2 linked regions of the Yarrowia lipolytica genome follow. The protein of the gene in region 1 purifies or fractionates together with the protein of each later gene. This does not show direct contact. Links are inferred from orthologs where the notes say so. Each region holds a gene or a part of one and is shown on either strand. Other genes may lie near its edges. The genes, in order: YALI1_E03220g and YALI1_B11200g.

Region 1 (4,942 bases):
GGTGAAAATTCCGCGGTACCAGATCCGGACGTTCCAGCCAAAATTCATGTTACATTCGGAGAAAAGAACACCCCGCAAGGGGCAAATACACTCCCCCTAGCCTGGAAGTATAGTCTTCTCTACATCTTAGCGAAAAGGTACACAGGTACAGAATGTAGTAGTACATACGTAGTGTACATATACTTAGACATCCATTGTGCCATGTTGCAGGGATAACTCCACGCCATATCTGGAAGAGACCGGTATCGTAATTCAAAGGGGTGCTGGTGTTGTAGCATAAACAAACAAAACACAGAGATACTCTTTATATGTCGTTATACTTGTCGATACATTGTAGAGGCGGTTTACTAATCGAATGTATAGGGGCTTACTCTTCAAACGAAGTTGCTGTAGAAACTGAATATACATACTGTGGTAAAATAAGCGTCGCCACGTGTGAAATGGAAGATGCTGAGCATCTCATAAATGAGTCGCCCAACTTTCTTATCTGAAAAGTGCAAAGTGATCTACGCAGCGCCGTTTTCTTAGCTGAACTTAGCCGCTGCCAAGCAAAGGATGAACAGCCCTCGTCCCCTGATTCATGATACAAGTACAGTAACTCTAGATTGACCGCTAACCAAGACTGAACCAGCTCGCAGTTTGGGTTATTCAAAATTGAGATCTAGCTCAGCTGGAAGCTTTGCAGTAACTACAGTTGTAGTATTGACAATATGCTGAATTGACGCAACCATTGATTGTGTAGAGTCTCAACATTGTCGGTGGCTAATAGAGACGTGACACATACTCGGTCATGGCAATATACTGCTTTCGAAACACATTCCTGTGTCAAAGCAATCATCTCCGGCTCCCGCTGTCTGCAGCTGTCAAAACAATGCACTATGAATGTGACACCGAGGCAACGAAATGATGGTTACTCCGAAGTTATAGACACGTGGTTCTTTTAGACAGGATTTCACTCGAGAAGAGAGATTGAAAGACACATCTTATCATGCATGAGGTTCACTCACCATGCAGATATTTATCCCATAAGCCTTTCTAAGCGGCGTATATCACCGACTGACATACAGATAGGACACACTATCAGGACCATTGTAGCCGTTCAAACATATTATATTATATTGTTTGTGTGAACGTTATCAGCTTTGTTATTGAGCGAGAAGCCGTGACTTTGACAAGGAGTAATTAGCTGTTGCACACGTTACAGAGTTTCAGATCCATACAAATCCAGGGTGCTCTTTCGAGCCGTGTTGTTTCATATCCTGAAGCTCTATGGAAGTTGGTACGAGTGTATACGGTATTGAAGTCACTTGTACTCAATGTCCTCGATGCCGTCTACATCCAACATTACGGAGTACAAGCATAATGGCCAAAACCGCGATGACATGGCTGTCTACCCTTGGAGTAATGAGCCAGTGGAAGTGTGTCCCGGTTCATATGGAACGAAGAGACGTTAATGATGATGTATGATGTAGCTACGATAACTGCAGCAGTTCTCTCCGCACTGTAAACACCATGATTACTGTAGGACCAAGGTGCAAAGAACAGCCAAAACAATAATACGGCGTGTATCCGGTTAGTTTGATGTGAGTCCAGCAGGGTGGAGGATGAAGCAGTGATGCAGGAGTCAGCTACATTTTCGGCTTGCTTTTATCGACAAAAACCACCCCACTTCCAGTCCAGGGTCCATGTCACTGTTGCTAACAACCCCGCATGCACTTACCCCAGAGAATGTACGATACGTAAACGGACACCCGTATGCGGACAGGAATCTTTTGGTATCAACAACCGAATGCGTTTCGAAGCCACATACTTACCTACAGTACGTGTACCCCGCGACTCACTCGCACCCACCACAACTCGAATCAATATACACAGGTGATACACACATTAAGTACTGTAGTTTCCATTAAATTTAAATAAAGTAACTAAGTAATTACTTGGCCAACAGATCTCAACTGCGACATCGTATAGAGTTCCAACTCTAAAAAAATTATATGAACTGCATAAGAAAATTCATCGTGCAGCATTCTATTCATACACACGACACAATGGCTAAAAGAAAGAGAGCAGCCCTTTTGCCCACCAACATTGCACTTCTGCAAAATCTGGTGCGACGAGACCCTCCTTCTTACAAGGAGGAGTTTCTTCTCCAGTACCAGCACTATGAGTCCATTCGTGACATTTACATGAACTCGCCTCAGACTGAGAACTCTGAGGAGTTTGGAGATCTCGTTGGATTCGTCGCACAGGTTGCATCGTGCTACCCCAAAGAAACAGCCAACTTCCCCGACGAGTTGTCCAAGCTGATCCTCGATCACCACCAGCATCTCGACGAGGATCTGCGAGAGAAGCTCATCCAGTCTATGGTTCTTCTCAAGAACAAGGGTGTCATCACCCCCGAGAAGCTTATCGCCACCCTCTTCCCCATTCTGCTCATCACTGGCAGCAAGCAGCTGCGAACTCAGATCTACTCCAACATTGTCACCATCGTCAAGGGTGCCAACACTGGAAGCAAAGCTCAGAAGCTCAACAAGTCTGTCCAAGCACTTCTATTTAATGTTCTGTCCACTGGAGAGTCTTCTGGTCTGTGGGCCACTAAACTGACCCGAGAGCTGTGGAGACGAGGTATTTGGGACGACTCCCGAACTGTGGAAATCATGGCTCAGGCTACTCTTCACGGAGAGGCCAAGATTGCCATTTCTGGTGTGCGATTCTTCCTTGGCGCTGACAAGGAGCGAGAGGAGGCTAACGCCGAGGACTCTGATTCCGATGCCTCTGCCGAGATCGGTGCTCTTAAGCATCGACTACAGATCAACAAGAACTCCCGAAAGCGAGGACGAAAGGCCGAGTCTGCCATGAACAAACTGCTGAAAAAGCGAAAGGGTAACGGTGGTGTGTCTGCCACCTACCTCAACTTTTCCGCCCTGCATCTTTTGCGAGACCCCCAGGGTTTTGCCGACCAGCTCTTTACAAACTTATGCAAGTATAGATACGATCTTGAGCAGAAAATTCAGATCATGAACCTCGTGTCTCGAATGATCGGCACACATAAGCTCACCGTTCTGGGCATCTATTCTCATTTCCTGAAATACCTCACCCCCAAGCAGAAGGACGTCACTCAGATCATGGCTGCCGCCGCGCAGGCTTCCCATGATCTCGTGCCCCCTGATGCCATTACACCCATGATCCGAAAGATTGCTGACGAGTTCGTCTCTGATGGTGTTTCTGCCGAGGTTTGCTCTGCTGGTATCAACACCATCCGTGAGATTCTGGCACGAAATCCTCTTGCTATTGAGGCTCCCCTTCTTCAGGATCTTACTGCTTACAAAGGCTCCAAGGCCAAAGCAGTTGTTATGGCTGCTCGATCTCTTGTTTCCCTCTACCGAGAGGTTGCACCCGAGATGCTTGCACGAAAGGATAGAGGTAAGGAGGCATCCATGGCTATGTCTGCTGACGCTAAGGCCGGTACCTCTTCTCGACTCCAGTATGGTATTGAGAAGGGCCAGACCGGTATCGAGGGTCTCGAGCTGTTGGCCAAGTGGAAAGCTGACCAGGTCCAGGAGGAAGATGATGAGAAGGCTTGGGAGGTTGATTCTGACTCTGATGATGACTCTGACGACTCTGAGTCCGGATGGATCAACATTGAGGACGATAAGGAGTACAACATTTCTGACAGTGAAGACGAGGAGGAACTCGACGACGAAGCCAAAGCTGCTAAGGCCCAGGCTGCTGCCGACGCTGCTGCCGAGGCCCAGAACATTATGGCTACCAAGATTCTCACTCCTGCTGACTTTGCCAAGCTCGAGGAGCTCAAGGCCCAGGCGGGCTTCGACAAGCTCATGGGCAAGAAGCTCACCAACGAGGATGAGGTCGATGCTCGTGGCCTGATTGGACCTGTCAAGTACAAGCAGCTGCGAGAGGAGCGAATTGCACAGGCCCAGGAAGGACGAGAAGGACGAGAAAAGTTCGGTTCTCGAAAGGGAAAGCGAGACGCCCCTCACTCCACCACCAACAGAGAGAAGGCCCGAAAGAAGAACTTCATGATGACTATCCACAAGAAGGATGTCCAGGGCAAGGCCAAGAGATCGCTCATCGAGAAGAAGCGTTTGCTGAGAGCTCATATCGACAAGCAGAAGAAGAAGGGATTCTAGTTATAGATGGTTCAGTTATAGCATGGTATAGAAAAAAGGTATTATTTGTTGTATTGATATTATAGACAGCGGATCCACCACTGACAAGCTGTATTGTATTGTATATTAGTAGTTAGTAAGCGTCTGGTGACTGGTAATAGTATGGATAGGATGGCCGTATTTCGTAGGTTGAAAGTTGGCTAGCCATTCCGCCACCTTGTTGACCGTCAAAGTCTCCTCCAAGTACTTCTTGCGGTTGAACTTTTGTTCCACAGAGTATTGTGCAAGCTCCTTTGATTCAGTCACATCAGTAAGATACACGTCGTGAACAGAGTTCCACCTTCCAGGCTGGCTGTTTATCGCGTCGTAATCATCACCATGGTAGGATACTTGGTGGTAAACTTCGTCAAAGTCGCCACTGAGTAAGTCAGTGACACGCTGGAGGTACACAACCTCGTGATGAGGCAATCGGTCGATTAGATTTTGCCATTTTTGCCTGTTCTGAATGTAAACTTGCAATGCTCTGTGACTTGGCCGATGTAAAATCTCCGTCCTCGGAGCATTCAACACAAGGGCATCAGCGAGCGGAGGTGTAGTAGATTCGTCAATAATATCTTCCAGCTTCACAACAGGGGCGTGGTTCGAGTTGTTTCCCTCCATTTCCACGTCCACACCATCGACGCCGATTCGTGTCCCTTGTGACCCTGCTGGGTCAGCTTGCAACTGCGACCCAGAAATCAACTTTCTGTACTCACTCCCTGAGATCCTCATGATTGGTCTGAGAAGATCAGTGGAGAAGAACAGGTCTTGAG
Region 2 (5,122 bases), on another chromosome or scaffold:
TCACTACCTGTGTTCCTTTCCTTCCGGCGCGTCCTTGACTCTTCTTTCAATTTCAATTTGGAATCTATCATAGCTGCTACACACCCTATCGTGAATTTGGACTGGCTGTCACACACCCTCGCGTGAATTCTGGAGAAACAGCGTGGTTCGTGTATCAAGCAAGCTGCTATCTCATTCAACGTCTGTCGCTGAAAGAGCATTGTCTGACGTCGAAGAGACAAGGTGTCCAAGTCATGTTTGGTGATGGACTGTCGCGATGCTGTCGTACAAGCTCCTTTCTTCTTCTAACACAGAACACCCCTCTGTTCATCGGAATCTATCCCGGTGAAGGCGAAACCACCACACAGCTCGAGTACGACTACTCGTCACTAGCATACATGGCTCTGGACTATCTGGGCCAGCAGCAGAACGAAAACGCCGGCACCGTGTCTCTTCTATACGTGCACAAGCTGGCGGTGTACGGTATGCTCACCAACACGGCCAATAAGATTGTGATTGGCTGCGAGGCCCAGGAGGGCTCCGAGAGCATTGAGCAGTTTGCCAAGCAGGTGCTCAAGGTGCTGGTGGCGTACAAGAGCAATCCATTCTACGATGAGACCGAGACTAGCATTGATAGTCAGGGGTTTAGAAAGGAGATGGCCAAGGTGGTGGACAAGTGGAATAAGGGAGAGGCATAGAAAGCGAAGAGTAGCCCAGCAGCTCTTCTGAGCAGACACCAGCGAGAAAAAGCTATCGACATGCTGCTTGGCACGGACCTACAGGTGCTTTCATCTTAACACGTCTTCACTTTTTTTTCTGACGTCCACAGTTGGGTTGAATAAGGTAATGAATTAGTTGAAACCCCAAGTAAATGGTGAGTAAACGCGCAGTAAAAGAAGCTGCATCTAAGGCGTGTCAAGACGTTGATCCGGTGGCAAATAGGCACGTTTTTTGCTTAGTAAGCGATGATCAGGGGATAGTCTCGAGAAACAGATGGTTCAAGGGGGTTATCGAGTGTCAGCACTTGTAGATGAAGTGAGTCACGGAAATTGAATGTGCAGTACTTACTGTAGCTATAAGTAATATCCACAATTACTCTCCCTATAGTTGGACATTCTTGAAGTGTGGTAAAGTCGATCAATATGGCTGTTTTTTTTTTGTCAGCAGAAAACAATAAATATCACCAGGCCAATTGGTGCCAAAGACACCGTTACTACTGTTTCTACACCCTCAAATCTGTTGTATTTTTTCTCCAGATTTTGAAATAAAAAATAAAAAATAAAAAATAAAAAATAAAAAATAAAAAATAAGCTCGGGGTGCATTGCGATGGAAAAAAATATTGGTGCATGAACTTATATTTTTTTGCAGACCAGTGCTTGATCGTGTAACGACTTTTCAGCAGATCTTGATATTGTTGATTTTGGAGCTTTTGGAATTGTGAGTGGGGCGAGACGTCGAGAGCAGCGACTGGAGATTATCCGGCGGACAAAACTAACCCAGAATCTGACACATACATACAGACCCGCCAGCTTCATTCGATTTACCTGTCTTGCAAGACGGAGACCTAGCAGCGACATTACGCTTCAAGTGAGTATGGTGGCGAGCGGGATCTTGGATCTTGGATATTTGAGATTGGAGATTGGAGATTAGATATTGGAGCGATTCTAACACAGATTGCGATTACGACATTGCCCTACGACTACAGGTTCATACATACGATAAACGATACAAAATGGTTGCATCCGGTGACAAGAGTGAGTATCGAGAGAGAGGAGGAGCAAGTAGGGAGAGGAAGGGAGAAAGAGGCAAACACAACTTACAAACAACTGAATAAATGCAAACGACACCAGGTTGTCAGTTGGCCGTGTTACTATGTTGTGTTGTGACGGTGAGCATGGACCATGTCAGCCATGTTTCAAGTGTGACACTTGGAGATGGATGAAAGGTCATTTGAAGCATTGAGTATTGATTTACTTGTCCAAACTGGTGCCATCGTGTCTGTCAACAACATGTGCCACTTGATCCCGGCGGAGGTGACTCTCCTGTTGCCCGATCCCCACTACCGTTGCGTTACTAACCCAGTCACCACATCAATCCCTACTGATTACCAAAACCACACCCTCACGCAATTATCCACCACCGCTTTAACCACACCAATTCTGCCCTCATGCCCCCAAATCGCCCCCGATCTGGTGGCGCGGTGGATCACAAGCGCCAGTAGTGGCGATGACGCCGTTCTCGTGCTCACTGCTCTCGCGCGTGATGTTGCTGTGTGCCCGGGTATCCAGACCCTCTGCTCTCATTTCGTCTCAAAGATGGGCTTCATGGAGATGCTCAAGGTGCCCCAGAGTGAGACACAGACAGAGGCCATTCTGCTCGCCTTCTACCGCCTCGTCTCGTTTGATAGAGAGACGTACGGCGGTCTGGTGGACAAGGAGGTGGTGAGCGGACTAATGTCCTTTGACATGGCCAAGCAGCTGCTGTACAAGGTGTTTGAAATGACCAAATGCGACGCAGAGCTCGAGTACAGAGAGAGCGAGCGCGTGCTGGCTCTGGCACGTGACCTGCTGCCTACCACACACATTCACATCCCCGTTTCGGAGCTCAACTCTCTCAACACTCCTATTGGTTCTTCTTTGATTCCTCGACTTGGAGGACCCTCTCCCGTGGCTTCTGACTACGTGGAGACCGACACGAGTGTTGAAATCATGAATGAGCTGGGCCAGGCGCTCTCCACCAGTGCGCCCATTCTTCTGAGCGGCCCCTCGGGCTCGGGAAAGACCTTCTATGTGAACGAGATTGCCCGCAACCTGTCCAAGCTGGACAACATGGTGCGAATCCATCTCGGCGATCAGACAGACTCCAAGCTGCTGATTGGAGCGTACACCACCGGCTCCAAACCGGGGTCTTTCGAGTGGAGAGACGGTGTACTGACTACAGCCATCAAGGAAGGACGATGGGTACTTGTGGAGGACATTGACCGAGCCCCCACCGATGTGGTTTCGGTTCTATTGTCTCTACTGGAGAAGCGAGAACTCGTCATTCCCTCGAGAGACGAGGTGATCAAGGCCCACGCTGGCTTCCGACTGGTGGGAACCATGCGAAAGAAGATCGGGGCTCACACAAACGAGATTATCGGCTTGCGACTATGGCAGCAGGTGGAGCTCCCGGAGCTGCAGCCCGAGGAGATTGTCACCATCATCAAGGAGCGATACCACGTGATTTCCGCCATGGCCGAGTCCTTCCAAGACACGTTTGCGGCCATTGTCGCTCTGTACGGCTCATCCAGTTTTGTTTCTCTGACGAAATCTGCCGTTTCTCGAGTGGTTTCCCTGAACGACCTAATCAAACTGTGCAACCGAGTGAGTGCCATGATCTTGAGACTCGGATACACGTCTCCAAATGACCCTCTGCCCAACCACGTGTACGAGTTCATCTTTCTGGAGGCTCTGGATTGCTTTGCCGGCTTTCTGAGCAACTCGGACGCCCGAAACAAGGCTGCCCATGTGATTGGAGAGTGTCTGGGCATGTCTGCTCCCAAGGTAGATGTTCTCCTTGGCCGAGTTCCTGCCTACCAGGATAGCAGCGACAGCCTGGAGGTGGGACGAAGCCTGCTGACTAAACAAGTCACTGGCCAGAAGAAGAAGAGCAACAGTCTGTTTGCCAACACCAACCACGCGTCCAAGCTGATGGAGCAGATTTGCGTGGCCATTTCTTCCACCGAGCCGCTTCTTTTGGTTGGAGAAACTGGTACCGGTAAGACCACTGTGGTTCAGAACGTGGCTTCTCTGATGAACAAGAAACTCACCGTTGTCAACGTGTCTCAGCAGACTGAGGCCGGCGATCTTCTGGGTGGATTTAAGCCCGTCGACGTGTCTATGATTGCGGTTCCGTTGATGGATGAGTTCCAGGAGGTGTTTTCGGCCACCTTTTCTGCAAAGAAGAACGTGGAGTTCATGAAGCTGTTGACCCGGGCCTTTAACATCCGCCACTGGAAGAACTGCATTCGGCTGTGGAAGGAGGCGGTCAAGCTGTCTGCTGGACGGCTGAAGGAATCCGAGAGCGGTAAGCGGCGCAAGCTGACCGACAAGGAAACCGTGTCACTGCAGGCTCAGTGGGACCAGTTCCAGAGCAATCTCCTGGCGTTCGAGATCCAGTACAAGCAGATCCAGTCGTCGTTTGTGTTCCAGTTCATCGAGGGATCCATTGTCCAGGCCGTGCGAAAGGGCGAGTGGGTGTTGCTCGATGAGATCAACCTGGCGTCTCCCGACACTCTGGAGGCCATTTCTGATCTTCTGTCCGAGCCCCGAACACTTCTCTTGTCCGAAAAGGGAGACGCAGAGACCATTGTGGCTCATCCAGACTTCAGAATGTTTGCATGCATGAATCCGGCTACCGATGTCGGTAAACGAGACCTGCCTCTGGGTCTCCGGTCGCGGTTCACAGAGCTCTACGTGTCTTCTCCCGACGAGAACTTTGATGACTTGCTCAAGATCATCGACCGGTACATTGGCCACTTATGTGTGTCGGACTCCACTATTGGCATCCACAACGACGTGGCGGACTTGTACTTAACAGCCAAGAAACTGTCTGCCGAGAACAAGATTGTGGACGGAGCGGGCCAGAAGCCCCATTTCTCCATTCGAACGCTGTCCAGAACACTGGTCTACGTGTCGCAGATTGCGCATCTGTTTGGACCCCGAGGGTTGCGTCGGTCGCTGTACGAGGGCTTCTGCATGTCTTTCCTGACTCTGCTGGATGCCGACTCCGAGGCTACTCTCCATGAAGTCATCAAGAAGTACACTGTCAACAAGCTCAAGGACCAAAAGTCGATCATGACACAGAAAACCAAGGCCCCCAGCGACAAACATGTTGCTTTCGAGCATTACTGGCTGGAGCCGGGACCGCTGACTCCCTACGACGACGAGAAGTACGTTATGACGCCGTTTGTGACCAAGAACCTGCTCAATCTGGTCCGAGCCACGTCCGGAAAGTCCTCTGTGCTTATCCAGGGTCCCACTTCTGCTGGAAAAACGTCCATGATCCGGTACCTTGCTCAGAAAACCGGTCACGAGTTTGTGCGTATCAACAACCACGAACACACGGACTTGCAGGAATACCTGGGCACATACGTGGCTGATT

The links.
Region 2: the proteins of YALI1_E03220g (region 1) and YALI1_B11200g purify together in Saccharomyces cerevisiae (affinity purification with mass spectrometry; 4 studies listed by BioGRID, with this or other methods). This does not show direct contact. The link is inferred for Yarrowia lipolytica from reciprocal best matches to the Saccharomyces cerevisiae genes SDA1 and REA1.

Annotation. Positions count from the first base shown.
Region 1 is NC_090774.1:319,063-324,004, reverse strand, and holds YALI1_E03220g (uncharacterized protein), read left to right. Parts: upstream 1-1,994; coding exon 1,995-4,151; downstream 4,152-4,942. Other genes in the region: YALI1_E03185g (uncharacterized protein), read right to left, coding at 4,257-4,942.
Region 2 is NC_090771.1:1,118,161-1,123,282, forward strand, and holds the start of YALI1_B11200g (uncharacterized protein), read left to right. Parts: upstream 1-1,914; coding exon 1,915-5,122. Other genes in the region: YALI1_B11183g (uncharacterized protein), read left to right, coding at 234-677. UniProt on the Saccharomyces cerevisiae protein: Nuclear chaperone required for maturation and nuclear export of pre-60S ribosome subunits.